3 linked regions of the Bombyx mori genome follow. The protein of the gene in region 3 binds, or shares a complex with, the protein of the main gene of each other region. Links are inferred from orthologs where the notes say so. Each region holds a gene or a part of one and is shown on either strand. Other genes may lie near its edges. The genes, in order: structural maintenance of chromosomes protein 4, structural maintenance of chromosomes protein 2 and condensin complex subunit 2.

The links.
Region 1: condensin complex subunit 2 (region 3) and structural maintenance of chromosomes protein 4 share a complex: the UniProt entries of both Homo sapiens proteins name them as parts of the condensin complex. The link is inferred for Bombyx mori from reciprocal best matches to the Homo sapiens genes NCAPH and SMC4.
Region 2: condensin complex subunit 2 (region 3) and structural maintenance of chromosomes protein 2 share a complex: the UniProt entries of both Homo sapiens proteins name them as parts of the condensin complex. The link is inferred for Bombyx mori from reciprocal best matches to the Homo sapiens genes NCAPH and SMC2.

Annotation. Positions count from the first base shown.
Region 1 is NC_085134.1:4,030,751-4,041,158, reverse strand, and holds the end of structural maintenance of chromosomes protein 4, read right to left. Parts: intron 9,786-10,408; exon of another isoform or gene 9,758-9,785; coding exon 9,575-9,757; intron 8,981-9,574; coding exon 8,851-8,980; intron 7,412-8,850; coding exon 7,294-7,411; intron 5,448-7,293; coding exon 5,264-5,447; intron 4,242-5,263; coding exon 4,083-4,241; 3' UTR 3,999-4,082; downstream 1-3,998. UniProt on the Homo sapiens protein: Central component of the condensin complex, a complex required for conversion of interphase chromatin into mitotic-like condense chromosomes.
Region 2 is NC_085131.1:14,291,441-14,302,566, reverse strand, and holds the start of structural maintenance of chromosomes protein 2, read left to right. Parts: upstream 1-4,791; 5' UTR 4,792-4,933; coding exon 4,934-5,101; intron 5,102-5,492; coding exon 5,493-5,642; intron 5,643-6,045; coding exon 6,046-6,207; intron 6,208-7,778; coding exon 7,779-7,889; intron 7,890-8,176; coding exon 8,177-8,298; intron 8,299-8,614; coding exon 8,615-8,771; intron 8,772-9,091; coding exon 9,092-9,283; intron 9,284-9,964; coding exon 9,965-10,100; intron 10,101-10,399; coding exon 10,400-10,575; intron 10,576-10,642; coding exon 10,643-10,826; intron 10,827-10,952; coding exon 10,953-11,026; intron 11,027-11,126. Other genes in the region: nuclear pore complex protein Nup133, read right to left, coding at 29-243, 454-572, 649-758. UniProt on the Homo sapiens protein: Central component of the condensin complex, a complex required for conversion of interphase chromatin into mitotic-like condense chromosomes.
Region 3 is NC_085117.1:9,009,274-9,018,864, reverse strand, and holds the end of condensin complex subunit 2, read left to right. Parts: intron 1-250; coding exon 251-413; intron 414-799; coding exon 800-908; intron 909-1,193; coding exon 1,194-1,367; intron 1,368-1,829; coding exon 1,830-1,957; intron 1,958-2,228; coding exon 2,229-2,432; intron 2,433-3,052; coding exon 3,053-3,293; intron 3,294-4,090; coding exon 4,091-4,262; intron 4,263-4,869; coding exon 4,870-4,980; intron 4,981-5,345; coding exon 5,346-5,648; 3' UTR 5,649-6,293; downstream 6,294-9,591. Other genes in the region: cytochrome c1, read right to left, coding at 8,143-8,373, 8,542-8,723, 9,344-9,461. UniProt on the Homo sapiens protein: Regulatory subunit of the condensin complex, a complex required for conversion of interphase chromatin into mitotic-like condense chromosomes.

The sequences.
Region 1 (10,408 bases), on a different chromosome or scaffold from region 3:
ACTTTTCATAAAAATGACACAGTTCTAGGCCGCAGAGCAGGCACCGAATGTGAAAAACCGGTTGTAGTGCACAATTACAACAAAAACATGGGAGGAGTAGATCTAAAGGATCAAAAACTTTCGACATATTTAATGGAACGTAAAAGGGGTCTCAAGTGGTATATCAAAGTTTTTAGGCGCTTTTGCTAAACTGTAGCATTTTAAACAGTTACATAATATATAGGTGCCATGATAGAGAAAAGAAATTGGATCACCGGCAGTTTCGGTATACTTTGGCGGAGGTCCTGTCTTTAGAAAGTATGTACATACAACGCATTAGGCCTGCTGCAAATACAGGTTATGATCGCTATAAAGGAAATCATTTCCCTGATCATTTCTCCAATGACGCTGATAAAAGTGAGCGACCAAATAAACGCTTAAATCTACACAAGAGGGGACGTTGCGTCAATTGTACGTCAAACAAAAAACTGAAGGAGACAAATATAATTTGCACAGGCTGTAAAGTTTTTCTTTGTGTAGGTCAGTGCTGGCGCGAATACCACACTCCACCTAATAATTAGTTACTCTATTAAAATTTAATAAAACCGGTGTCAAGTAGTTGCATTACACATTTTTTTAATCTTTTTTAATTCGTCATTTTTAGTTTTAAGTAAATAGTGAAATACTTTGTTGGTTATCTAATAGTTTGTAAATTTTACCAACGTTTTTCTAGAAGTTTCTTTCTTTTTTAATCAAATCTTAGAAAGCATTTTTTCTAAACCCACCCTGTACATGAATGGACCAGTCTGTGCCGGAACGCGGATCCACGAATGGAAATCTTACAAAAATTTGCAATAAAAAAAATGTATTTCTTTCTAAAATATTTCACTAGTGTGAACTATTTTGTAGTGTAATTACGAACAGAATATATCAAAGAATATAATAAAACAAGAAAAAGTTAAAATAAAATAACTACCTTTGTATTATTTGTGTTTTTTTTATTTTTTCCGTTTCATAAGAAATAATGAGTTATAATAAATACACGACTCATGCTGTTCTACTAAATTATACATCTATAAATACTTGGGCTCATTGTTTTTTGTAATTAAAAATTAGGTAAAAGATACGTTTTCTAGTCTTAGTGATATTTCATGTCAAACTTTATGCTGCGCGGCCGCGCAATTCGTCCATATTTCTCGGCATACAGCGGTATCGTCACTGTTCCATACCAAAGGTTAATGTATTTGTTTTATTAATCAAGAAACAGGTTCGATAAAATTTGTAAAATGCTCCTAAATTTTTTTGGAAATTTCGTTCAGACTTAGTTTTATTTTACAGCTTATTAAATTAAGATTATATAATTAAGGAAATATGTACTTTATATTGTTATTTTTCGTCGATAACAATCAATACCTAAGCTTTGAGCTACTCTATTTCTTGTTTGCAGATTTGCAGTTGTCAAGCAAGCTCTTATCATAGACACGCGAAGTATTTAAGGGTATTTATTACATTAATGACTCATTGTTATCTCTACGGTATGTAGATAATTCAAATTGAATAACTTCAGGACTGACTTTTCAAACAACAAATTCAAAAATTTACTCATCGTTCAAATTATAATCTGATTACCAAAAAATTGGTTGTAATGTCGTTCATATGTCTACATTGTTTGTAATGATATAATGATATAACTTTTCTTTGAGAATTAAAAAACGTTCCTAGTTCTAAGCTCATTCATTCATGGTAGCTTTCTACATTGTGCTTTAGAAAGAGACAACTGACCATATAAAGCTTGGTTCGTTACGCACCTGACAGAGACAAATCTTCTCGTTCGAAATCGAACTTTTTATTGGTCTTGATTACAAACTATTGAGATTTGAGGTCAGTCTATTAGATAGCAGCTGTCCCACACTTCAAAGCGATCGATTGCCTCGCAGTATAGAGGTAATAACTATACTGAGACCTCAGAACTGATATCTCAAGGTGGGTGGCGAATTTACGTTGTAGATGTCTATGGGCTCCAGTAACCACGTAACACAAAGTGGGCTGTGAGCTCGTCCACCCATATAAGCAAAAAATTAAATAAAAAAACAAGGTGGGACTTACCAGTACACACTCAGAATACGTTTCACTATCATTGTAATGCTGAGGAATAATATCGACGATAAGAGTATTTTATTTAACCTCTTCAATAACATTGGCACGTCTGCCAATATGCGTTTACTGGTGGTAGGACGTGTTGTGAGTCCGCACGGGTAGGTACCACTACCTTGCCTGTTTCTGCCGTGAAGCAGTAATGCGTTTCGGTTTGAAGGGTGGGGCAACCGTTGTAACTATACTTGAGACCTTAGAACTTATATCTCAAGGTGGGTGGCGCATTTACGTTGCAGATGTCTATGGGCTCCGGTAACCACTTAACACCAGATGGACTGTGAGCTCGTCCACCCATCTAGGCAATAAAAATAAAAAAAGTGTGTGTGTCCGCTCCGACGCACGACTGGAGTTTACTGGATATAAAAAATTAAACGAAACAATACGAGAAATAGTTCTATATTACGACAACACGATACACTACAGATTATTAACAAATTAACGAGACACAAAACAAACGACTAACAAATATATGAAAATACAATAATGAGAGAAACGCGCGATCAGTACGAGGCTTTGTGGCGGACTGCCGGCGCAGCAGCCCGGCGTCACCTGCGATAACGCGGCCGCGCGTTGGCTCCTGATTGGCGCGCGCACGCATCACGCAATCAGGAGCCAATCAGGCGCATAACGCATTTCGTGTGACATGCTAGTACGATTTTGGTCCCCATAATTTTCATACCCCGGGCCTATATATGTAAATCGATTCTAAAGGAGTAAACTCCAAAAAAAACCTTAAAAGACCACAGATGTGGACATTTTATTTAAGTCACTAATGTTTGTGAACTTTTTTTAACTTATTAAATTGTTTTTAAAAAAATGAACAAATTGCAATAAAAATAAAAAAAAATTTTTGTTCTTCAAAAAAGTCTACTATAAAAGTTCATTATCACCTTTTAAAAATTAAACATTCCATGCACTATTGATTGTAATTTGGCTTTCATAATAATAATATATATGTGAACATATTTACCATGAAGAATACATATATGAATAAATTTAGATTCATTTATACGATTTCAAATTTCTAGTAAATGAATGTGAACATGACCTCTATTGATCAATAAAACAGCTAATTAACTAAATTGAAATCTATCATTGTAAATTTGCATTTCTAATTTATAAGAATTATAATATTTTCAAATAATTATATTACAAAATACTAGACAATGCCCTGTTTCATATTCGATAGTCAACGGTAATTGTTAAGACTGTTCTTACTGGCGATATAATCGCTTTATTTATTATTTCATATATAGATATATTTAACGTGAGGTCGTTACGATACGATTTCATTCCTCACAATATTATTGTATCTCTTACCGTACCTATTAAAATTGTTAAATTGCATGAATATTTGAAGGAAGAAAAAAAGGTCATCCGACATTCAAAACCCTTAATTTTAAATACGCTAAGCGTTTACATTAATGCAATATTCTTAAAACGAAAAATGTAACCAGTTGTTTAAATATAACAAATAAAGTGTGATTTTGAATGCCGGAAAACGGTTTTTAAATTGGGATGAAGTTATGCAAAAGTACCTTGATTGAATTATACATTAACAGTAACTAATCCCAGCAAACTATCCAAAAAAAGCTATTTCATATACCAAGTCTGTGTCACTACACATCATGATATGTAACATTTTAGTCTCAGCCTGATTATAACATAAATTATCCATAGGATATGCCATAGGTTAAGGATGATTATATCGTTGCCTAATTTGATAGTACAATTCAAATTTATTATACATTACTATGCTTTATAAAGTTACATATTTAACCAATTTTAATCAGACACATAAAACGCATTCATCTTGCATAACCACATCCAAATCGTTTATTAAAGAAACAGTATAATATAAACTGTTTGTTATTTAATTAATTTATTTATTTTTTATTGTAAAAATTAAACAATATTCATGAATTAATACATAATAAAACGAGTTTTATTCACGCACCGTCCACACGTACTTGCTCCGGTAGCTGGTTCTCAATCGTTATAGACTTTGTGCAGTCTTCAGTTTTGTATATACCGACCAAACGATTCGACACCTCAAACATGTTGTATCGAAGCGATATGATTATGAATTGAGCGTTCTTCGTTCTTTCCTGAAACAATCGAATAGAGTTATAGACGACACTAGCAAAGAGCGGCTAGTATTAATACTGATGATTTACTGGTGGTAGGACCTCTTGTGAGTCCGCGCGGGTAGATAATCACCGCCCTGCCTGTTTCTGCCTTGAAGCAGTAATGCGTTTCGGTTTAAAGGGTGGGGCAGTCGTTGTAACTATACTTGAGACCTTAGAACTTATATCTCAAGGTGGGGGGCGCATTTGCATTGTAGGTGTTTTGGGAGGCTTAAACGACGAAAGGGAAGATCTTCCACCGAGCGGGTGATATTTGCTCGGTAGACCGACGGTCCGAATATTGTTGTTCGGAACTTGTATATATGCAAGCTTATCTTGAAAATATCGTAAGTGAGATTCAGGCATCTGTCAAATATCTTGCGTTGTATGATGGCTACCCGCCAGTGTCTATCGGATCATAATAAAAAAAAAACCTAAATAGCCATTTGATATTCACGGCATATTTACGGAACACATATCTCGTGGATAAAGAGCTCTTACTGTATCTGTACTATATCTGCGAGGAGTGAAGTTGTGTGATTTGTTTTATTTTGTCTATTGTAATGTTTCTTTAGGATTAAATGTGTAGTAACGGTGGTTTATTAACTGTTTAATATCTGTGAAAGTGCACAAATGTGGGAAAATGAAACAAAGCCGCTAGACGTAACTTCTAAAAAGTCCACTGAAAATATCTTAGTAGATGACCACTATTTTACTGAGATTATATTTCATCCCATATCATCTCATTTCATTTCACTCCATATTTATCATTTTTCATAAAAAATAATAATTTAAATTAAAATAAGACATGACTTAAATGTCTTAGTTACCAGGTCATAAAATCCCTCAAAAGAAAAAAATATATATTTTTTTTCTTTTGTAGGCAGACGTGCATACGGCCCACCTGATGGTAAGTGGTCACCGTCGCTCATGGACGTCAGCAATGCCCGTATTTAATAATATGTAATATTATTATAATATATTAATATGTAAAGGTCACCGACCTTAATATAGTTTGCCACGATCGAAACGTTTTTGAAGTCCAAGGCCGCGTCTATCTCGTCCATGACGTACAGAGGCGTTGGTTTGTAGTAATGTAAAGCGAAAACCAGGGCCAGTGAGGATAACGTCTTCTCGCCGCCCGATAAATTCGATATGTTCTTCCAGGACTTGTTCGGCGGACGCACGCTGTAAACAAAACAAGAGTTATTTAGGTGTCGTGAGATTATTATTTTTTTTACTGGCCGAGTCCCGCGATGTTATCTGCGGTTATTTTCGTACCGCGAGTGACGCCGCGGGGCTAAGCAAGTCTAGAAAAAGTAGCCTAAGTTACTCCTTATATCATGAGCTACCTATTAGTGGAAGTCTCGTCAAATTTGGTCCAGCCGTTCCAGAGATTAACCGGAACAAACAGACAATAATTTTTTTTTTTTTTTCTACCTATCCTGATAGCCTTGAGAGGCTATTTCAGCTTCACCCTAACGTTTGTAGGTGAGCTCACGGGGCTCAAACCGGAGTGTTGCTAACACTGCCCCTAGCAAGAGCAGAGCTTCGCAGAATCTACCACCGGATCGGAAACGCGACCCACTGAGAAGATCCGGCGAGAAACTCAGTGGGCTGTGCCTATGGGCTAGTTCGCTCGTCGAGCCCTTCGTCGCAAGCGACGGGTTCGACGAGGACGGTGACCGGGGAAAAATTGTGAAAAATTGTATGTGTTACCGACAATCTGTATAATACAGTATTCTATACAATACTTAGGCAATGTATAGAATACCTAAAACGTTAAGGTAAAGTATGTAATATTTTTCATTTTATACTTTGCCTAGGCATTCTATACAAAACCGAATGCGCTGCCCGTAATGTGTGTAAAAGAACTGATTACTTAACTTTTAACTAATTACTTAGATTAGATTATGTTAGTTAACCCAGAAGAATTTTAAATTCAATGTTATTTGATTGTGATTTTACAATAAATACCTATGAATATAAAGATTGTTTTTAATCAAAACTAACTACTTATTAATTGTTAATTTTAATAAAGTTGATTTTAAGCAAATCTTATGTGCTATTTTTGTCTGTCATTTTATACTCTTCTGCTTATTTACTTACATAACATTGATAAATACAGGCCCAAATATAGTTATTTTACACATTATGTATAGATTTACTTTTTATAGTTTAGATGAGTGGACGAGCGCACGGCCTACCTGGTGTTAAGTGGTTAGCGGAGCAAAAAAAAAAACTAGACGGTAAATTCCGCCACCTACCTTATATATGATATGAGTACTAAGGTCTCAAGTATAGTTACAACGGCTGCCCCGCCCTTCAAACCGAAACGCATTACTGCTTCACAGCAGAATAGGCAGGGCGGTGGTACCTACCCGCGCGGACTCACAGCACATGCTACCTACCACTAGTCGAAATTTTGCATTTCAGACATTTTAATCGCATATATCGAATCGGCGCCATTGCCTTAATACTCTTTAGAAATAAACTTACATTACGAAGAATTAAACATTAAAATATATGCAATTGAGACTTCGAGATGAAGACCAGTCAAGGGAATTATAATTTTATTACTAAACACATAAGAGGCTTTATATAAAAATACTCCATAAATTATCATAGGCCAGTACGAATATATATATTTTTTTCCTTCCTATTCTAGTAGCCTCTAGGGGTTATTCTAGATTAGCCGAGCTTGTAGGTGAGCTCACGGGGCTCAAACCTGAGGACGTTGCTAACACGAACCCTAGCAAGAGCCGTGCTTCGCAGAATCTACCACCGGATCGGAAACGCGACCCACTGAGAAGATCCGGCGAGAAACTCAGTAGACCGTGTCTGTGGGTTAGTTTACTTATCGAGCCCTTCGTTGCAAGCGACGGGTTCAACGAGGACGGTGACCGGTGCTTGAGGTACCTAAAAGCACCGTTAGTGGATCGGGAGGATCCAAAATGACGTGTTTGGGGCGACGTCGACTGCTTTCCATTCGGTCCGCAGGATCGGGTATAGTACGATCCTTAAAACAAAATACCTGAATATAATCCCTTCGGAGAATGGATCCAGCGAGTCAACAAGTTCTAGTTCAGCGTCGCCTCCCAATGTTATCATTTGGTACATCTCTTTCAGTTTCATTGTTATCGTATTGAATCCTGGAAGGAAAAGTTTATTTTTTATTGTACAGAATTGGAGTTTCGAACTTTACACTAAACTAGCGGCCCGCTCCGGCTCCGCTCGGGTCTTTAACAAAAATTTCAACGATATTTGACGTTGTTTTATTTTTTTAAATAAAAGAACACTTATTGCGACATAACTACAATAGTTAGACATATGCTGTCCCGACACTTTTGGTAAATAATAATGTGTTCTACAAAGCAGTAGTACATTATTTTATTATACCATCAATAGTTTTCGCAGGCACGCGATGTAAAGATTATTTTAGGTAATTTTTGGAGTTTACTCCTTTAGAATCGATTTACATATATAGGCCCGGGGTATGAAAATTATGGGGACCAAAATCGTACTAGCATGTCACACGAAATGCGTTATGCGCCTGATTGGCTCCTGATTGCGTGATGCGTGCGCGCGCCAATCAGGAGCCAACGCGCGGCCGCGTTATCGCAGGTGACGCCGGGCTGCTGCGCCGGCAGTCCGCCACAAAGCCTCGTACTGATCGCGCGTTTCTCTCATTATTGTATTTTCATATATTTGTTAGTCGTTTGTTTTGTGTCTCGTTAATTTGTTAATAATCTGTAGTGTATCGTGTTGTCGTAATATAGAACTATTTCTCGTATTGTTTCGTTTAATTTTTTATATCCAGTAAACTCCAGTCGTGCGTCGGAGCGGACACACACACTTTTTTTTACCTATTGGGATACATTATTGGAGTTTTAGTAAGGATCCCTAATATTTTTCAAAAAAGATTATCGCCTATGTCACTCGGTGTAGCTTCCAAACAATGTAAGAATTTTTCAAATCGGTTCAGTAGTTTCGGAGCCTATTCAATACAAACAAACAAATATTTCCCTTTTATAATATTAGTACAGATGTCTCTGCAAAGTTTTACTACATCGAGTAGAAATCTAGGAATATTTTTGAGAAGTCTGACATAACTTGAACCCCTCCTGACCTTGAGTAAGATTCCCCAGGGTTAAAAACATACTTACGGCTCATATTTTTACGAATTTGCTTTTGTAATTCGTGATAAGAACACGTTTTTTTTTTTATTGCATAGATGGGTGGATGACATTACAGCCCACCTGGTGTTAAGTGGTTACTGAAGCCCATAGACATCTACAACGTAAATGCGCCAACCACCTTATAAGTTCCAAAGTCTCAGTATAGTTACAACGGCTGCCCCACACTTCAAACCGAAACGCATTACTGCTTCACGGCAGAAATAGGTAGGTCGGTGGTACTTACCGCGCGGACTCACAAGAGGTCCTACCACCAGTATTTACACCCGTTTGCATTAAAATTACAAACCCCTGTTGTATATTGTAATGGCAGTCCGTACGCACCGGACGAGGTAGGCCGGGAGGTAGCCATGACGCCTCCCTACACAATACTTCAAAACCAGTGAATACATTACCGCTTAAGAAATCAGTCGAACGTTTCTTCCTGAGTTGTTCATAAAGTGCCCTCATTTCGTTTCTCTTTGTAGTTATCTCGTCCAATTCGGCGGCGCGCTTTATATATAAGTCTTCTTTTGCTTTGTAATCCTGAAATACAACAAGGTTTTTTTACAAGAGGAAAAGTGAAGAAATGGTGGATCGTGATTTGCGCCCACCGCCACTGAGGTAAAAAACTAGGATCGAAACGACTTTAAAAATCGTTACAACTTTTAAAATAATAACATCATGTGAAATAAATAAATAAATGCTTTAACAGCAAAGCCGAAATAAAAGAAATGATTATTTTGTATCATAGTGGTTCTTCTCTTTGACACGTATGCAAATTTTTCAGGGTAATTAGACATCTTGAACATGGTGAAAATTTCATTGAAAAATTTCGTCATATAAGTTTTATATCACCCTGCCTATTTCTGCCGTGAAGCAGTAATGCGTTTCGGTTTGAAGGGTGGGGCAGCCGATGTAACTATACTTGAGACCTTAGAACTCATATCTCAAGGTGGGTGGCGCATTTACGTTGTAGATGTCTATGGGCTCTAGTAACCACTTAACACCAGGTGGGCTGTGAGCTCGTCCACCCAGCTAAGCAATAAAAAAAAATACTAAGTGTGTTAAAATGCTTTTTTTAAATGTTACCGTATTTTCATAAGAATTTGAATACATTATTTAAAACAGTATTCTGACCTGTATCGCTTGTATGTTAGGTTTATTATCTCCCACTCTATTCTTCTGAGCTGCCAGTTTATTCCTCAGATCATCCACAGAACTCTCCTCCAGTTCTTCGGGGGTGTGCTGACGCAGCGGTTCCGGCCTCTCCACCCCAGGGATGCCGTCTAATCCCGAGTCTTCTAACCTTAGACTTGATAGCTGAATACAAAATTATTAATTAGAGGTATAGTAAATGATTTAGTGATCAATAAATAGTAGAAAGCTCTACTCATTTTAAATTGTAAAGTGACTGTTTATTTTTAATAATTAATAAAACCTAGCATACATGTTCTTGGCGAATATCACTAAATATATAAAATAATATATCAGTTGAGTATATATTATATTGAGTTTAGGATACTCAACCACGTGAGTTGCAGTTTTTTTAAGGGATTTTATGACCTGGTAACTGAGACCTTTAAGTCATGTCTTATTTTAATGTATATTCATATTTTTATGAAAAATGATGTTATGGAGTGAAATGAAATGAAGATGATTAATTTGAGACATTAATCAACTGGGATGAAATTAAATAGTAGGCAGCGGCTTGGCTCTGCCCCTGGCATTGCTGAAGTCCATGGGCGACGGTAACCACTCACCATCAGGTGGGCCGTATGCCCGTCTGCCTACAATGGCAATAAAAAAAATGAGATGAAATATGAAATTTAATCTCAGTAAAATGGTGGTCATTTACTAAGATTTTTTCAGTGGATTTTTTGGAGGATTCCGAGAAGTTACGTCCAGCGGCTTTGTTTCATTTTCCCACATTTGTGCACTTTCACAGATATTAAACAGTTAATAAACAACCAT
Region 2 (11,126 bases), on a different chromosome or scaffold from region 3:
CATATGTTTAGCAATTTTTTCTGATTACCTGAGAGTCATTTCCATAAAACAGTACAACTAAATCAGCCTTGTGAGCTAAATCTGTTTGAGGTAATGTGAGCTCTCGAGCAGCTGATATGCCAGTCACATTGGCTGGATCTTCATCAGTATCTATTGGAGATTGCTCCCAAGCCAGGATGCGACGACCAGACACTACCCAACACCAGCCACAGGTCGAGAGGCGCACTGAGATGTCTCCACTTGCTTTGAATTTAAAACGAATTACAGTATTTAATCTAAGCAATCATGCTACAGCAGGTCCAAATTTTAGGTTTTGATACAAATAAGCCAAATGACTGATGAATGATTTTTTGTCTACCCTACTACGATTTTTTTCGAAATGTCTGGAATGAAAAATGCTCATGGTTTTCAGATATTGTAATTAATAGGACGTTGTGTTGATCGGTAACTAACCGAACGCAAGAGCCTCTGTGACCATCACTGGCATAGGTGCCCCGTACGTTTCTAGTGTCATCGATGGAGTTTTATAGATCACATCGCCAGTTTGTTCGCTTTGTGACTGCATAAATTTACTGTAATAAAAGCCGTAAATAAAGAGAAAGACAATAATTTATATAAAACATAACAGGTATAGGTTAAGAAACACACCTTTGGCTTTTTTTCAAGGAAGATAGGCCGCCAGGCCTTCGCCCTGAAATGGACTGTCTTACCCGGGGCGAGAACGGACTTCTCATCGCTCCTGTAGTATTGAAATCCATATCTATAAACTAAAATAAAATGCAAATGAATCGACCCTGCTCAAGCAAAATAATTCAAAACGTCAAATAAAAATCGTTTTTATGTTCCATGTTCTTAAACTTTTTTTAAACATTTCTTTAGCATTAATTGAAATGCAAAGGGACATAGGTTAAAATGTAGCGTTTCAACAGACTTATTCAACAATGTTGCAAATTATATTACAATTTGAATATTTCACAGGGATCCCTATTAACGAAAAAACTTAACAAAACATTTTGATGACAGTTTTATTTTATAAGATACCATTATTTACAGCTAAAGAGTAAGCTTTGTTTAACTTGCCTTTGTCGTGGTCTAAAAATATATTCGTATCGAGCGTATCACTCGATAGTCGTATCAATTTTTTTGTGAAATACTTGGGTAGTGCCACAAATTTACCTATTTATGCCTTAAAGCAGTAATGCTTTTCGATTTGAAGTTTTGGGCAGCCATTATACTGTTAACTGTTTAATTAAACTTAAAACTGAAATCTCAAGATGGTTGGCGGCATTTAAGTTGTTGATATATATATATGGGTCCCGGTAACCACTTAACACCAGGTTGGCCATGAGTTCGTCCACAAACCTAGCAAAAAATATATTTGAATAATGTTCAGGAATGACTTCCACAATTAAGGAAAAACAATTTAAACCTGCGTTAAAATTTAATGTAGGTGAATTAGTACACTATACAAAGACAAGTCTCTAGATCGATGGTGGCATTTACATTTATATATTTCTCAGGCAATAAACCAGTTAAATAGGGATCTGGACTACATATTATTATGTAGTTGGTCAACTAAGTTTGGCTTAACCGTGAATCCAGCGAAATGCCAAGCCATTATTGTGGGTAGTCCTCGTATGGTTCAACGCATAACTACTATATCACTCTCATCAATATTTTATAATGGTACAGTGATTCCCCTAAGTTCCGTGGTTAAGAACCTAGGCCTTTACATAGACTCCACACTCGACTGGAAAGCTCAAATATCTTACGATGGACAAAGAACCTCTGGAATTCTTCGTGCTCTGCATCGCCTCAAGAATTTCTTACCATCAGCGACTAAGACTATGCTAGTACAAGCCTTGATCTTCCCTATAATGGATTACGGTGATGTGTGTTATTTTGACCTGAATGCAGACCTTTTTAATACTTGATCGTCTTCTTAATAACTGCATTCGATTTATTTTTAACCTATTCGTTGTCCCACACATAGTTCTAGTTATGTTCGTAACTCTATCGTCGTGCAATCTGTTCTGCTATGGAATGCGCTTGCTCTTGAGATCAGGACTATTACTAACCGTTGCGCGTTCAAGTTAAGGGTTCGGCGAATGTTGTTCGAAAAGTTAGCGGAATTGTCATTGTGCAGGACGAAACTGATTTTAAATAGTTTTATCGAACAAATACAATTAATATAGTTAATAAGTAATTACGTAACAAAATTGTATAATCTTAAATTATTTAATATGCAATATGTTAGTGTATCAGATCAGAGAATGTGAATAGACCAATAGGAACGATTTGTGGAGCGCTTTCACTACGGTAACATACAGATCAAGGGACCCTCCAAAAGTGGCGCGTCGATAGCGCGTCGCGAGATGGGGTACTGAAATAAATATAAAAGGATGGCCATTTATAGGCAAAAACAGTTCTCAGTGGATCTTCGACATAGAAACATCAGCAAGACAGAAACAGTTCTCAGCAGATCATCAAGACAGAAACAGTTCTCAGCGAATCTCCGACATAGAAACATCAAGACAGAAACAGTTCCCAGTGAATCTTCGACAAAGAACCATCAGCAAGACAGAAACAGTTACCAGCAGTTCTCCAATAGTACAGTTATCAGAAAACCACCAGTGAATCAGCTACCAGTGAACCAGACAGTTACCTGTGAAACCTCGCTACAGAAGCCGAAACCCATCGAAAGAAACAGCCGTCTTCTACCAGCGCACAAACAGACAGCAGAAAATATTATTACACGACTCGGAAACAGCCATACAGACCGGGTCGTGTACAGTCATGAACTTATTAAGTCGGAGCACGTGGTCGAACTCGACTGTGGACGACGGGGGTGCCATACCACCGAACATCCTCCGGTGTGATAGCTCCCTGCCGGAGATCTGCTTCACACAGTATGCAGTCAGGCGGGAGCTCCGACTCCTGGACGTCTATAAGTCGAGTGGGCCAGACTGCATCCTCGCAGTGGTTCTGAAAACGTGCGCCCCTGAGTTGACACCTGCGCTAACGCATTTGTATCGCCTCTCTTATTGTATCCGTCTTCATGGAAGACCCCTTCACGTCCACCCTATCCCCAAGAAGGGCGACTGGTCGGAGCCATCGAGCTATAGGCCTACCGCGATAAGTTCCTTACTTTCCAAGGTGATGGAGCGAATAAAAAATGCACAACTCCTGAAGTATATGATTTTCATCCTGTATATCAATGTCAATGACATGATGTCTATTGATGATATGCATTGCTATGCGGATGACAGTAAGGGGGATGCGCGATATATCGGCCATCAGAGTCTCTCACGGAGCGTGGTGCAAGAGAGACGATCAAAACTTGTGTCTGAAGTGGAGAACTCTCCGAAGCTAATCTCCGAATGGGGCGAATTGAACTTCGCTCAATTCAATCCATTGAAGACATAAGTTTGCGCGTTAACTACGAAGAAGGACCCCTTTGTTATGGCGCCAAATCCAAGGAGTATCCCTGCAACCTTCCGAGAATACCTGGATACTTGGGGTCTGTCCAATTTTGGAGTCATTTGGAAGGCAAAGCCAAGTTGGCGTCCAAGATGCTGGAAGTCCTCAACAGAGCAAAGCAGTACTTCACGCCTGGACAAAGCCTTTTCATCTCTGGGCTAGGGTTACCAAATACGAGCTACTTCGATTTCACTCTATATAGAAAAGGGCCGCTCGGATTGTCGATAATCCCGGATCTCACGGATCATTTGGAACCTCTGGGTCTGCGGAAGGACTTCGCTTTTCTCTGTATTTTGTACCGTATGTTCCATGGGGAGTGCTATGAGGAATTCTTTGAGATGATTCCATCATCTCACTTTTACCATCGCACCGCCTGCCATCGGAGAAGAGTTCATCCTCGCTGGGTATCTTATTCTGTTTGAGATATAGAAGCACTATTTCTTGATATCGATGCTATATGATAACAGCTTTATTAAAGACACTATTGACTACATTCTAGCTCACGCTCGTGCAAAAATCAGCCACTGTCATTTACATCGACAAGTCCTAGTAGATCCATCCGCCCTGCTTTCGATTTGTTGGACATTAGTTCTAATGCTATACGATTACGCTATAATGATACTAGTTCATCGGGCGTTTTATTCTTTGGGCTACAACTTATAAAAGGGTGAGATTTAATGTCTGAGTTTGTAGACTTTTTGGAAGTTGTCAAGTCCACGTCCACGGCCGAAGCCACGGCCTATGATTTTTTTTGCGCTTATGAACTTTCACTACATGGTTAAAATACTTCATTTTCTGTACTTACTACAATTTATTTTAGTTCGAATCAGAATCTATTACATTTGAATCTGAGATGTTATCTATCTTCTTCTTCTATATATATAAAAATGAATTGCTGTTCGTTAGTCTCGCTAAAACTCGAGAACGGCTGCACCGATTTGGCTAATTTTGGTCTTGAATTATTTGTGGAAGTCCAATGAAGGTTTAAAAGGATAGATAAATATGAAAATGCTCGGAATTAAATAAAAATAACAATTTTGTTTTTCCTTTGATGTCCCCCCCGCCGCGCGCCGGACGGATTCCTTTTGTTTGTTTTAAATTTATTTTCTTCAAAGGTTTAAGTCTTTTATTTATTGATAGAGGCACTACGAAGTCTTCCGGGTCAGCTAGTATGCAATAAAGAAAAGAAAAAGAATCGGTACACTTATAATTTTTTACCTCTTTACCATATTGTTAATCTAAATCGAATTAAAATCTTTAAAAAAAATGTTGTCGAGAAAAATATAATGTGTCAATGTCATTAATCAATGAATGTCAAAAATATTTTAAAAACACAAATCAATTTTGATTTCATAAAAAAATCAACGGCTTCTCTAACGCTTGATGAATTCGTATGAGTTTAAATTTTTAATGAATTTTCTTGTTCTATAACTGTTGTTTTTATGATCTGAACATGTTTATTAAGTCAATAGTGTTAGATGGCTTCAAGTCTTACGGAAACCGAGTGGAAATTACTGGATTTGATCCAGAATTTAATGCGATCACTGGTCTAAATGGGACTGGAAAATCAAATATCTTAGATTCTATATGTTTCGTACTTGGAATCACAAATTTATCGAATGTATGTTGTAGTTTATTATTGCTAACAAAATAACAACTGTTGCTGATTTATTTCCCGCCAAATACCATTCACTGTTAAGGGTTATGGCGATATAGTAGCAGCGTTTATTCATGATAATATTCAATTACCTATCAAATATGCGACATAAATCCTATGGGCATCAGAATACATGATGACTTGAAAATAAAAACATACACTTTTCAAGTTCTAGTACAACAATAATATCGATTGATGCGAAGTAAACTCGACAATGATGTTTTCTGCTTCTTTCTGGGTACAATTATAAATAATATGAATATTCCAACAATAAAACATAGTTGCTTCTTGGTCAAAATGCTTGTTTAACAAAATTTGTGCCTAAATTATTAATTAATTTATTATAAAAAAATAGGTACGAGCAAGCAGCTTGCAGGAGCTTATTTACAAGCATGGGCAGGCAGGTATCACCAAAGCAACAGTTAGCATTACCTTCGACAACAGAGATAAGAGACAATGTCCGATTGGCTATGAGAATCATGATGAGATTACTGTCACTAGACAGGTAAGACATAGTTATATTGGAATAGTAATTAGTAATCAACAAAACATCTAGAAATTGAATAACCATTTGCTAAGTTTCCAGGTTCATGAAGCTTCCATTAAATTACTTTATTAAAAAGTTCCAAGAATACAATAGTTCCAAGAATATATACATGATTAATAAATCAATATTCAAATGTTTGAGATGACATGATTTAATACATCATTTACAAATCATTCGATCAAGTAGCTTGACTTTTACTATTAGCAAACCAAGCTAAATTTCATAAGCTTTGCTGAACAAAACAAGAAATAACGTATAGCATTCAAAAGTTATATTTCCTCATCCAAATTTGCTTAATCAAACTAATATAAAGAACATGCTATTTAACAATTATTGAAACAATTTGAAAAATAAATTTCAGGTGGTGATGGGTGGTAAGAATAAATACCTTATAAATGGTATCAATGTCCAAAACAAGAGGGTCAGTGACTTATTCTGTTCGGTTCAGCTTAATGTCAATAACCCACACTTCCTCATCATGCAGGGAAGGATTACTAAGGTGCTAAATATGAAACCTCCTGAGGTAAGCCATACATCAGCTTCAGCAGTTAAATTACTTGTATGACCTTAGTAAATAGTGTTACGAACTGAAGTTCTGGATAAAATAATTATTTCTTACTAGCTGACCAGGCAGACTTCGCAGTGCCAAGACCTAAACTTTTGTATAAAATAAACTTAAAACAAACACAAGGAATCCGTCCGACGGGGGATACATCAAAGGAAAAACAAAATTGTTATTCTTATTGAATTCCGAGAATTTTCATATTTATCTACCTTTTAAAGCTTCTCTGGACTTCCACAAATAATTCAAAACCAAAATTAGCCAAATCGGTCCAGCCGTTCTCGAGTTTTAGTGAGACTAACAACCAGCAATTCATTTTTATATATATAGATAATCAAAAACATATATAGATTATGAATCAAAATCATCAAGTCTAATTACAAAATACTTTGATTAGTACTTTGATAAGTATAGTGACTGATTTCACTATTATGATGCATTAGATTGCATTCAAATCTTGTCTTGGATATGACTTCACTTTAAGTCGTATGATTTTTCTCACTCCTCTGAATGAAATTTAATCTTTCTAAAAGCGTGTGCACTGTAATTTCTAGTAAGGTCTTAATTGCTTTGTGATTTTTTTCTTTCTCTGTACTGTGTGGCATTAGTTGTATTGTATGTTTGAGCTATTTGTGATGATTAAAATATAGGTAGAGACATACAGCCTTAGTAATAAATGTGGTGTAATATCCTTATGCTTCCCAATTCGTGCCATCGTAGGACAGAAAATATTTGACAAATTTTGAAATCACACTAATGGCATTTTCAAAAGAAGCTTTGCATGTGTTAAGCCAGTTACAAACAATATTTGGACTTTTGGTGTATGGAACAAAATTATCTGCTTGGTGGAAGATGTTTCTTATATTGTTTTCCCTCAAACACTTACTAGCCACAATATCAGTAAACTTGAGATCTTGTCTTCTGATATGGAAGATTTCCATTTAACCTTGCTCTGTGGCTGCTGCCCAGCCATTGTTGGCCCTAAGATAAAAAAAAAGCTGTGAGCACAAGAGTTTTATATCCACAAGACAATGTTGATGCTACCACTCTCCCTGAGAACTGAAGTTGAGCTGGCAGTACAACATCCCATGAGCTCGTATAGGTATGTATCACCACTCTGCCTATTTTTGCCTTGAAGCAGTAATGTGTTTCGTTTTTCAAGGGTGGGGCAGTAATTGCACACTGAGGCTTGGATGCCTTTTCCCACGGTGGGTGGCGGGGCTCCCGTATCCACTTAAAGTCAGATGGGCTGTGAGCTCAATGACCTATCTAAGTAATAAAAAAAGGCAAAAAACCTGTGCTGTAATTGTGTTTGACATCCTTGTGAATAAATGAAATGTAACTAATTTAGCTGATCTAATGATTACAAATTTCTTCTAATAATTATAAAATACAATAAACAATAAAAAGGCCATAAGAACATGAACATGGTAAATTGGCACTAGAGACATTCATGTTTAGCATTGGCATCCAATAACCACATTGCACTGAAGGCTAAAATATATACAGCTACAATACCACTTTTTTGTTAGATATTATCAATGGTAGAGGAAGCGGCAGGTACAAGAATGTATGAAGCTAAAAAACAAGCAGCACAGAAAACTATTGAGAAGAAAGATGCAAAGCTCCGGGAACTTAATGATGTAAGTCAATTGTACAATTTTACTGTCACTGCACACTGTACAAATGTCGATTCGTTTTAAAGCATAATATGACACAAATAAAACTATTTTATCACTTCATCAAATTAGTAGATTTCTAGGACTACTTAGGTGGACTTTCAGAACTGCCAATACTTTTTTGAATAAAATAATGATTTTGTAGAAGGGATCACAATTAATCAGATGTAAATTTTTTTGAACTGAACTAAAACTTCTCAGAAAATACATTAAAAGAACTGTTGTGGCAAAATTGTTTCTGTTCAAAATAGATAATAAGAGAAGACATAGCACCTAAACTTCAGAAGCTGCAAGATGAAAGATCTCAGTTCCAAGAATATCAGAAGGTTGTCAGAGAATTGGAGAATATCACCAGGCTGTGTGTCGCTTGGAAGTGAGTATGGTCATTGCCTAAGTTCCTAGTCGCCACAGGACTGCGCGGCCGCCCGTGTGCCTCCCTGTTCAGTGTAACACAAAAATGTCAGTATGTTGAGTACTTCTTAGTATGTTGAGTACTTCTTTCTTTCTGTTTTAAATACATTAAGAAAAGAAAACAATTTTATTGAACATCTCTCTCTACAGTATACATGCACAAGTGTCCATAGTATGTTTATTACCTTCCCCTTCTAAACCACTTATTTACATGATAGAACAAGGCAATATTTTAGCACATCATAGTCACGAAAGTTAAAACGATATCTCCGTTACAGGTATGTTTCTGCTGAAGAGCAAACCAAAGCAGCAGAGGGAAAAGTCACGCAAGTGCAGGACGACATTAAATTGAAAAAAGAGACTATTAAAAACAATGAGAAAGAAATGAAAGAGCTGGATAAGCAAGTTGTTGACTTAAACAAAAAACTGGATGAGGTAAGAGACAGCAGTAAGTCGTCGCTTTTCGTCCGTGAGTCCAGCCCCAGAGCGGGGCTCTTGTCGCATTCTATGCGGTCCGGTGTGAAGGGATACACTTGAGACTTGCACTTTATGTCTGGATCTGGAGCAGAATTCACATAGTAATGGTTATTGGAACTGATATCCATTGTGCATTAGGCAACCATGAGTGCGTTTAATCCATAATTTAAGGAATCTGCTATCAATTCGTGTCGTTATTATTCATCGGATGATGTAGTTAGCTGATAAAGTTTAGACTTTTTATATGTAAACCACTAATCATTTAATTATTGTATCAGGAGAGTGGGAATGTCCTCAAAGATTTGGAAGTAGAACTTCAAAACTTGGAGAAGGTTGAAGCAGCAGCAAGTTCACAATATAAAGGCAGCAAAGAAGCCCTGAGCGGACACGAGAAGAGAGTCAAACTACTCGAAAAGGCACTGGCTGAGGACGAGCAGGCTCTCACATCAAAGCAACAGATTCTTAATGAGGTGCGGTCCCAGCAGGATACACTTGACACTTCTTGAAAGTAAACTGTCTTTGGATGGAAACATTCGAATTACAAAGATAAATTAGAGTGAATCGTTTTAGTCAAATGGTTGGTTAATTGTTTCCGGTGACTCTTTCTTTTATTAATTTATTCATGCATGTGGTTGTGGAAACAATATTTGTGATGCTCAAGCTCAACACACCTCAATGCACTCAAAGAAAACATTTATTTTACCTGCTCTCCATAATATGTACTTGTTTTATATGTGAACTAAATTATGTCCTAAAGACACTCCTTATAATGGCACGGACCTGTACATGCGTGAAGAACTACAATACATCTGTTTAATAACCAATGAATGACCGATATTGTAAGTGTAGCACAGCATTACGAAGAAAACATGGCCTCTGCACTGAACTCTTCAGGTTCGCAGTACTAGCTCACACCCGGTATGCACTGGCTGTCTTTTCTTGGTCTTATGTGGACTCACAAAATATAATCTTGATAAATCTTGACAAAAAGTATTTATGCTTTGTTTACGTTACTCTTGACTTAGTAATTTATTGCTGTATCGGAATCGGATATGGCTTGATACATCCGGTATGTAGGATCCTTGCCTCGATAGACATAAGTATTCAAGAAACTGAAAATGTTTTATTTAACTATTACTATTTTACGAAAGGTCTCGTCAACATTCGAGAACCTTCGCACATCTAGTGAGACCAGTGAGAAAGCTTTAGCGGAAGCACAACAGAAGTTCTTGGCCGTGAGCACCGGGAAGGAAGATGCTTCTGAATCGCTGCAGGACCAGCTAATGGGTGCGTCTTGACGTTATGACAGACTAGTAGAAATTTATCTCACCTCACTTGTCGTAAGTTGATAGTGGCTACAGGTGTCACAGATAAAAGACTAATATCGTATATATCATCAACAAACAAGTCAAAAATTTTCGTTCCTTAATATCAGATAGTGCACTGTTGATCGTGTCTCCCCAATACTCCATTATTGACCCAATATTCCACTACGGATACACAGAGAGTACAGTGCACATGTCACACCACTAACCACTAACAATAACACTGACTATTTTCATGCTTATTGTGGTTGCTCTTTGTAGCTGCCAAACAACAGGCGTCGGAGGCGTCCACTCGCATCACCTCGGCCATGATGGACAAGAAGCACGCCGAGGAGAGATTGAAAACTTTGGAGAAGGAGTTCACTACCAGCAGCAAACAGTACGACGCGGATCAGGAGAGCATCCGGCGGCAGCAGGCGCAGGTCGAGCAGCTGGAGGTGGGTGGGTGGGGCCGCCGGGGTTCGTGTCGCGGTTACAGCCGTCTGTAGCGTGGGTCGGTTGCAGCGCGAGCTGGCGGGGCTGGCGCACGACGAGTCCCGCGTGACGTCACTGGGGGCGGCGGTGCGGGGCGCGCAGGGGGCGGCGCGGGGGGCGCGGGACCGGCGGGACGCGCTGGCGGCGGCGCTGCAGCGGTGCCACTTCCGGTACTCCCCCCCCGACCCGCACTTCGACCGCGCCAGGGTCGCAGGTTCGACTACATGTCTAGCTCACATTTCTACTTTATGTTAATTGTTTAATATGATCTTTATATTTTTGATGATTCAAAATCTACAGGGTGACCGCAATGGCGATTAAAATGTTGCAATGATTGCAGGTACCGTCTGCAAGCTGATCGACGTGTGTGATCCGGTGTACTGCACCGCCCTGGAGACGGCGGCCGGAGGACGGGTGAGCCCGCCTTATACCGCTCGCGCTGGGTCTCAAGTGTCCCTGTCCTCTTAATGAGAAATGACGTATTCCAGTTTCTATTAAACGCTAATAAACACCA
Region 3 (9,591 bases):
TCCCATTGTCATCCTGCACCTGATCTGGACCGTTTTAAGGTATTTAGGGTATTTTCTAAAAGTGACTTCATACCATCATCACAATTAGCTCTGTAACCTAAATATTTGATTCGAAAGATACTAAATTCAATCCAGTAGTCCTTTCACCTTGTTCTCAACCAAATGAATTTCTCATTTACTGTTATTGGTGGAAATGATAAACTACTACCGTAAAATTAATTACAATTATGCAATAACATCTTTATTCCAGTCAAAAAGAGGCAAAAAAGATGATGAAAATATACAAGACGAAGGTGCATTAGATGGAGATGTGAATGCTGCACCCATTAAGAAAAAAAAGAAACGATCTAAAGGAGCGATAGCAGCAAATCCAGAAGTTTTTAATGGTGATTTCGACATCAATGACTGTATAGGTAAGTTTGTATACCTACATGCTATCCCCGTGCGTTCCAGAAGGCTATCCATATGCATATTACCAAAAATACAACAAAAACGTAATTAATGAACCTATGAGTTAATAAAATAAAATTTTAAAACTGTGTCTACATATTATTTCAATTATACAATTTTAGGATAAATGGAATTTAGATAATTCCATTTATCCTAAAATTGTTTAATTTAATCTCATATGCTACAATTTTATTCTTAATGAGTGATTGGACCTTATAAGCCACTATGATGAACACAGGTGTCTAGATAAACACTAATTACAATTTTAAATATTCTTTCTCTAGTAGGCTCATGGGTGCTGATAGAAGTAGTTTGTAATTTTTTTTTAAAAACAGTGTGTTTTATATAGATCCATTTTTTGAGAGGCTGGCCGCAACTACAGGAGATGTCACATCATCAAATAGAGCGTTCAATGCTACATTACCAATTCATGACAAAACTCTTGCGCTTATTCTGAGGTAAGAGTAATGGAAGGAGTTGATCATTGTGTTTGACTAATTCTCATTAATGTTAAAATCTAAATGCTTAATATGGTTTAGTTGTATAGTAATTGAAGTATTTAAAAAAATATTCCAACAGCCTAATTTTAAGTAAAAAAGTAAAATTTGATTCATCCAATGTAAAAGAAATTATATATAATTAATTACTTAATTACTCTTAATTGCAAATAGTATTCAAACAAAAACTTAAAGTGATGTATTATTTTTTGGTAGCATGCAAGATTTGTTTGTTTCATTATGCAGGACCGACACCAAGTTTTTAGAACCTGTCAAGGAGAACATCCCTGAAGAGTTGGACTTGTCACACCGCATCACCCTCGCCGTAAAGTTACTGCCGCCGTTTTTAGAAACGGATGCATTATGTGAGCCTTTCACGGGTTTCTCTATAAGCAATTGGGATCCGGATACCGAAGACAAGTTAGTGCCATAATATATATGCTGAATGAAACATTTGGCTATTTTCTAAGAGTTCCAACCAACACAAGGGATACAATTCTAAATCTAAATTTATCAGACATCTCATGGTCGAGCGCGCGCATTGTGTCTCGGCGATAAATTTTTTTTTTTTTATACATTTGGGTATAGTATCCAATGTTGGACTTTAGTATAACAATTTTATAGGAACAATTTTTGTGAATGCAACTTTATTTTGCTTGACATGTTTTGAGGATGAAATCTACAAATACCAAAGTGTAGATATCAGACACTGATACAAAATGATTAGCTACGCATCATATGTGTTGTGCAAAATTATAATTTAGTTTTAACATTAATTTATTGATTGTTTTAATAGAAGTAGATTCTATAAAAATAAAAAATGTGGTTTTGTATATTGTTATGTTATGGGTATGGTTAAAATAATTCTTATAAATTTTGTAGTGGGGAAAACAGAGTGACAAATTGGGTGGAAGAGAACAGATTGAATCTATCACAGCAAGCCTTGGCTTTTGATGTCAATGCTGAAGTGGAGCCGATACCTCAGGATGACTTACACAATGATTTGTATGGTGAGTTTTGCAAACTGTACAATAAATGTTGTTTTTCAACAACACCTCTTGTGAGTCCGCACCGGTAGGTACCATCATCCTGTCTATTTCTGCCGTGAAGCAGTAATGCGTTTCGGTTTGAACCATGGGACAGCTGTTGTAACCATATTGAGACCTTTAAGGTCAATAGGTAAGGTATGTTATAGGTCTCTATGGGCAGTGAGCTCGTTCACCCATCTAAGCAAAAAAAAAAAGATCGATGCGTTTTACGAGTAAAGGTTAACGTTTGCAGACGATGAGCCGCTGGGAGGCGTGGAGAGCGGCGAGGAGGCGGACGCGGCCGTGGCGGCGTGCGTGGCGCGCGTGGCCCTCCCCGCGCCCCGCCTGGCCGACGCGCGCCCCTCCGCGCCGCACCACGCGCGCCTCGAGTACTCCTACTGCTCCCTGGCCGCCGCATGGGCGGGGCCCGCGCACTGGAGACTCAAAAACAACAGAGGTTCTTAATTCTACCTATCTATAAGGCTACCTTCGCACGGGCTATATATTCAATTCACTAAATATTGAATAAATATATGTCTGAGTAGCCACATTTATTAACATCATCGTCAGAAATGGTAGGGGCGAATAGGGTGATCGAGCTAAGAGAATTAATGAGCACACCAATCACGTTTGTTAGAACGTCACGTTTGTTGTTATTGTAGTTGTTGTCTTAGATCAATTTAGAAATCTTCTCTTGGCGTTAGCGAACGAAAACGAATGACAGTTCTTAGGATGGAGACACCCCTCTTCAAGAATGCTGATTGGTAAGTGTGATAGCGTCTACGCGCCTCCATCGGCTAGGCTCTGTCGTAGTGGTCATCGAAGTTAGCCGAGTTCCGATGTTACCGCAATGGTGCTGCCATCTCTCGGGAATCGTGCTGCATTTCGTTTAGCTATCAAACTAATGACCGTCCCAAACATATGAATCTTCTGTTTAATTTGATAAACTGTCACTTTATTTAGTTTAAAAACAAATAAATAATTGTAATCCAATAAAATCGAAATATTAACTTTCTCACTTAATCTTTATTTACCGTAGCAAACATAATTAATCATATTTTAACATTGGCTGTACAGCATCAAAGCTTTCCGAGCGAACGCAATCGATGGGCGGGCGGCTGATGGCGGACGGCAACAAGAAGCCGGCGCGGACGAAGCGGCAGTTAGACTTCGAAGGCGCGGGACTCACGTTCGACTGCCGGTCCGCGCCCGTCGGGGACTACGAGCCCATCCAGCCGGCCAAGATCATGATCAGCAGGAAGACGCTCGCCACGGGACACACGTGGAACGAGACCAACTTTAAAACTCCTATTGATAGGTAGAGTGTTTTTTATTGTCAGGCTTCAGGATACTATTAGTACTTTCTATGTACAAAAAAATCTTAAATATATATATATAAAAAAAGTTATTAAACTTAAATGCAATTCTAAACTAATGACGAATTCGTCGGTAACCATGAAAACTCAAGTTTTCGAAATGTTGGAAATTCTTTAATGATAATATCAAACTGTAATATTTTCCCTTTTGAAGTGAAACTTCCTTATCGGCGTTGGAAAAAAATTTACCGTCACATTTTTCGGTTACGCGTCACATTTTTCCGTTACGCGCCATCTTTTTTGTATTCATGTCTATGATAATAAAATCCTCTTGTTTAAACTTTATCTAATTTAACTTTTTTGTATTCATGTCTATGATAATAAAATCCTTTTGTTTAAACTTTATCTAATTTAACTTTATTTAACCAATTTCTAGAAAGTTGCATGTAGATCATTTTTCGAAAAATAAGGCCATAAAGAAGTTTCACTTCTTACGTGTGTACACTAGTACACGCACACATTTTTTTTATTATATGTTCCTTCTTGTCTTTACCCCTTAGATGTGGTCCCCACAACATGTTTACTCTTCTGTCGAAATCAGAAGTTAGTAATTTCGTAGGACCAATTACAAAAATTTGTATGGAGTTGGAACGTTTCCCTACGTTTGGCGCTAAGGGCGCTGCATACAACTTTGAGTTAACTTTTACGCTATCGAGGACATTAAAAAACTCGCACTAAGCACACAGGTCAGCAGCACCTAAGATAGTTTCGAGTTCTATTTAATCCATTCTTTGCGCAGAGGTCTGGACGAATCGCACTTCTGCAAATTATTTTTACTGCGTAAAGTGACGATGTCGCGGAAACGTGACAACGAACACAGCAAGCCCGAGGAGCCCGTCACGGTCGAGGAGGTGCGCGACTACGATTACAATAATGAAAATGATGCCTCATATTGTCCCAACATACCGCCGGTGAGTACATTCACAATTCTACAATCCTATATTCTCCCAGTCAGTGATGTTAGAAACTCGCAGTTGATGCTGTTTTTCTCAACTAATTACAATAATAATCAACTGGTTGAGGTCGTGCGATACTCATATTAAACAATTTGACCGATAAATCTAATGACATCTATTATTGATATTTTATTGTATGTATAAAATTTGTATTCGTTAAGATTGTTAGTTGTACTTGTTAATATTGTTTACCTAATCTAATCAGTTTTAAAAATAATCAAACATACTACCGTATTCTGTCGTTAAAAAAGTAATATTTGAAAAGCTAATTTTTACTGGTGGTAGGACCTCTTGTGAGTCCGCACGGGTAGGTACCACCGCCCCGCCTATTTCTGCCGTGGAGCAATAATGCGTTTCGGTTTGAAGGGTGGGGCAGCCGTTGTAACTATACTGAGATCTTAGAACTTATATCTCAAGGTGTGTGGCGCATTTACGCTGTAGATGTCTATGGGCTCCAGTAACCACTTAACACCAGGTGGGCTGGGAGCTCGTCCACACATCTATAGAGCAATAAAAAAAAAAGCAATATCACAAACATAACTTAAGTTGTTGTTTTTGGTAGGATGCTGACGAGTGGGGCAACGAGGACGCCACGGCCGCCGGCGACCTGCACGAACAAGTCAAAGCCGTAGAACTCGAAGACATCGGGGACATGCTCGAACCACCAACAAAAGTAAGTTCGATCGTCACATTATTGATCCCGATTGATCTACGACAGTGTACAGGTTTCATTCCCAGTTGGATATGAGTTAGAAGTCTTGTATGTGTTAAGAATATTTGTAACAAAAAAAAATAGTTTCGTCTTGATGTCGTTTTAGATTTACTCATACCCAAGGATAAATATATATAATTATTCTATTCTTCTCTTGTGTGCTTCGTGCGAGTTTTTTAATGTTCTCGATAGCGTGAAAGTTATCTCAAATTTGTATGGAGTTGGAACGTTTGCCGCTAGGGGCGCTGTTCCAACTGCACTAACAACAATACACTAACACAGAATTACAACGAAACATATAATGTTCCGCATCCGTATTCCAACAGGTGGCCAAAATATTCATACCATACGCGATGCGGGCGAAAAAGGTCGACATGAAACAATTGAAAAACTGTACCTGGAAGATGCTCACTGAAAAAACTCCAGAAGGTTCCAAAGACGAGGTCACGGAAACGTCATTCTTTTCGATTTATTCCAGACTTCCGAGCAAACTGACGCCGAATATGAGAGAATCATTAAGTGTACCATTAGCTTTACTCTCAATTTTGCATTTAGCAAACGAAAAAGGATTGATTTTAGAGAAACAAGAAGACCTTAAGGACTTTGGCATAATAGGTTTGATAAAATAATAAAACAACTTGAGGTGAGGTTCTAAAATACATATAAATTTAAGCATATTCCTCACTACCTCCACTGAAAGCATGGCTTGTAGCGAAACTTGTGTTTTGAATACTCTAGTGTTTAGTATCTCAAATATGACCATAAAATATTAGTTAGTCACAAATTTTGATTGTTATTTACATTAATTTTTTAGTGAATTTATTGAAAGAAAAGAAATACCTAAAAGCCATTATTACCTGAACTACAAAACGAATTGTCTTTGACAACATCCATACATAATTCAATAAATTTGATGCGTCATCTGAGAGCTTACCTTATGTCAAAGTTGTGTATTGAAAGTAAAAAAAAATGTTATTGTAATAAATGTCAGTTTCTTGCAGCAACACTATTCCAGTTAATTACATTAGTTTCTAGGGTCGCATTTCCTTACTATCCTACAGATGATTAAATAATGTGCTATTATCAACGTTTCACAATTAGAAATGCAATGGATGTATGTACCGTAATTAAATATTGAATCTTGTAAATAAAGTTTTGACATGTGTCAAAATATATGAAAAAGTTTGTGAAAACATTGTATAGATGTTTTTAGAATAGACTTTATTTTTATATTTAAGTATTGAATAATATTTAGATATGTATGCAAGTACCAAGCTCGTTTTTTATTTTATATTCCCTGGCTTTTATTATTTACTATCAAAAGAGCAGTGAGGTAATCTATACATCAACAGCAAAAAAGGTAGATGGATAAGAAACATCCTTAATTTTTTTTATTGCCCGTGTAGCCAGACAGCCACATGGCCCACCTGATGGTGAGTGGTTACCGTCGCCCATGGACTTCAGCAACGCCAAGGGTAGAGCCAAGGCGCTGCTTACTGTTAAGTACGCTCCACAAGCCTCGTTTGAAGAATGTCATAGCGCTCGGGAAACATCGTGGAGGGGAGCTCATTCCAAAGTCGGATGGTACGTGGCAAAATCTCTGGAAACGCACTGTGTATGAACGCAGTGGCTCCAGGTAGTATGGATGAACTCTACTCCGGTAGCGGGCGGTGCGATGGTAAAAACGAATTGATGGGACCATTTCAACCAATTCCTCAGACCACTCCATGAAACATATGGTACAAAATACAGCGAGAACCGAAGTCCCTCTGCAGAATCAGAGGTTTCAAACGATCCGTGAGATCGGGATTATCGACAATCCGAACAGCCCTCTTCTCTATAGAGTCAAATAGAAGTAGCTGGTATTTGGAAGATCCGGCCCAGAGGTGGGAGCAGTACTTCACGCGAGGCCAGACTTTTGCTTTATAAAGCAAAAGCCTTTCTCTAGGCGCGAAGTACCGTTTCGCTCTGTTCAGGACGCCTAGCATTTTGTACGCCAGCTTGGCTTTGCCGTCCAAATAACTTCGAAATTGGACATCGCTCAAAATGTCGACCCCAAGTATCCCAATACAAGTAAAAGGTTGCAGGGATACTCCTTCGTCTAGCCTAGTAGTATTATTTACTTTTTAGATTTAAATGGCGACTGTGCAAGACATTCGCGCATCGAAACAACGAAAATAAAATTAATCGGATGTGGCACTGTTACAAGCCATACATGTAATTTGATTTTTTTATTGCATGCATGGACGGGTGAATGAACTCACGGCCCACCGGGTGTTACACGATTACCGGAGCCCATAGACATCACTACGTGAGACATGAGGTCTAAATCTCAATTGTATACTAAAACGGCTGTCCCACTCTACAAACTGGAATCCATTACTGCTTCACATCAGGAATAGAATGGCTGGTGGTACATAACTGCCTCGCAAGACGCACCACGACCAGTAATTACAACAATTTGTTTTTTTATTGTTTAGGTTGATGGACGAGCTCACGACTGGTGGTAGGACTTCTTGTGAGTTCGCACGGGTAGGTACCACCGCCCTGCCTATTTCTGCCGTGAAGCAGTAATGGGTTTCGGTTCGAAGGGTGAGGTAGCCGTTGTAACTATACTGAGACCTTAGAACTTATATCTCGAGGTGGGTGGCGCGTTTACGTTGTAGATGTCTATGGGCTCCAGAAACCACCTAACACTTAACACACTTAGCATTAAAATAATATTAGGGCTGCATCATAATTTGGAAGAGAAGGTCAAGGAAAAGATGAAATCAATAGATTTTAACACATTTATTCAACTGTACACTGATTCACAGTAAGAGCTTTCATGGAAAATCACAAGCACAGTTACCGACAGATCACCTAACATTACAATTTGACTGTGCCACGGCTTCGCAGTGGCAAAATGCTATAAACATAATTACATAAGATAATACGGTTTCGCGTCTACGGGACCACGCATGGTAACAAAGTCACAGCAAGCCACCCCGTGTAACAAAGTAAACACGCGATGGTAGATAAAATAAATTAATTTAATTATAAACAATTAACATGTTACTGTGCCTATAGAAAAAAAAAAAATTGTCTAAAACATTTGTTTTGCTACTTGTAAGTTGTTGGCGTTTATTTCTTAGAAACGGGCTTGTAGGCGAGCTTTCTAGACTTGAGCGTGGACCACTTGTGCCGCTTGTAGTAGTAGACAACGGCGGCAAGCATGGAGAACATGCCGATAGCTTTGATGGTCATCTGCCGACGGTCGTCCAGTTCGGGTTCTGAGCACCATTTCAAGAAAGTCGCAACATCCTTGGCGAGCTGTGACGCAGTCGCCGGCGTGCCGTCACTGTACTCAGCTGCCTGCCAAACATAATATAATATTTAGAGAGGGCGTTGATATTACTCGTATGTGTATAGAAAATAATATATAATGCAGTCTATTCTTCTTGTATAAGGCTAATTTTGTTTGTTAATGAAATATCACCAATGGACATATATAACGAGTTTAGAATTATCCATGAAACTTACTTCGTCAAATAGAACTTGCGCCATAGAGATGGCACCTCCTGGGAAGTATGGATTGTAGTTCTGTCCCTCACGTAGCACTACACCAGCAGGAGGTTCCATGTAACCAGTCAGTAGCGCGAAGATGTAATCTTCGCCGCCCTTACGTCCCGAGCAGATCAGAGACAAGTCCGGTGGGTAAGCACCTGATATCAATTAACATTTTTATTATTAGTTTTGTATTTAGGGAGTCAAGCATAATCACTTATTAACTTGCACTATTTAAATTTGATCTTTAAAATCCAGATAAAATTTTCTCTTCTATTTCAATAATTTCATTAAATTTAATAATACTAATATGTTTTTAACACCAATGCATAATACCTTTGCAATTTTTTTTAATGTAAATCTATTAAGTGAAAGTTTTTTTTTTTTTTTTTTTTTTTATTGCCCTTGTAGGCAGACGAGCATACGGCCCACCTGATGGTGAGTGGTTACCGTCGCCCATGAACTTCAGCAATGCCAGGGGCAGAGCCAAGCCGCTGCCTACCGTAAGTGTTGTTAAGTGGAGCCATGTGCCTTGAGACGTAAGCTTGATGTCTCAGTTTCATTTTATAATGACTTCCATCTTTCAAACCAATACCCATGACTGCATCTACCATCATAGTAAGAGGCATGGCAATTATTAAAAATATTAACTACCCAGACCTTTAGAAATCAAGGTTACTTAGTTTCCCTACAGGATTTCATGACATTGATTTCTTGTGGGCCCATTCACAAATGATACTAAGATTTTGCTCTGCATTTTATTATTTTCTACACATACCATTGTTTGCAGCACGAGCCGCATTTTCATTGGGGTATGGAGACGGCAGGTAGTCAGAAAGTTTACCAGGCCTTTCAAAGTAGTTGCCCTCCTCATCAGGACCATCTTTAATCATCACCTGAAAATGTTCAAGTTACCAATTAAATATTATACATTGTACTGCTATGACAGTTTTGTTCTTACTATGTTGGACAAACCTATAACTAATGAATATGAAAGTAATTTTTCTCTTTTAACTGACTACTTGT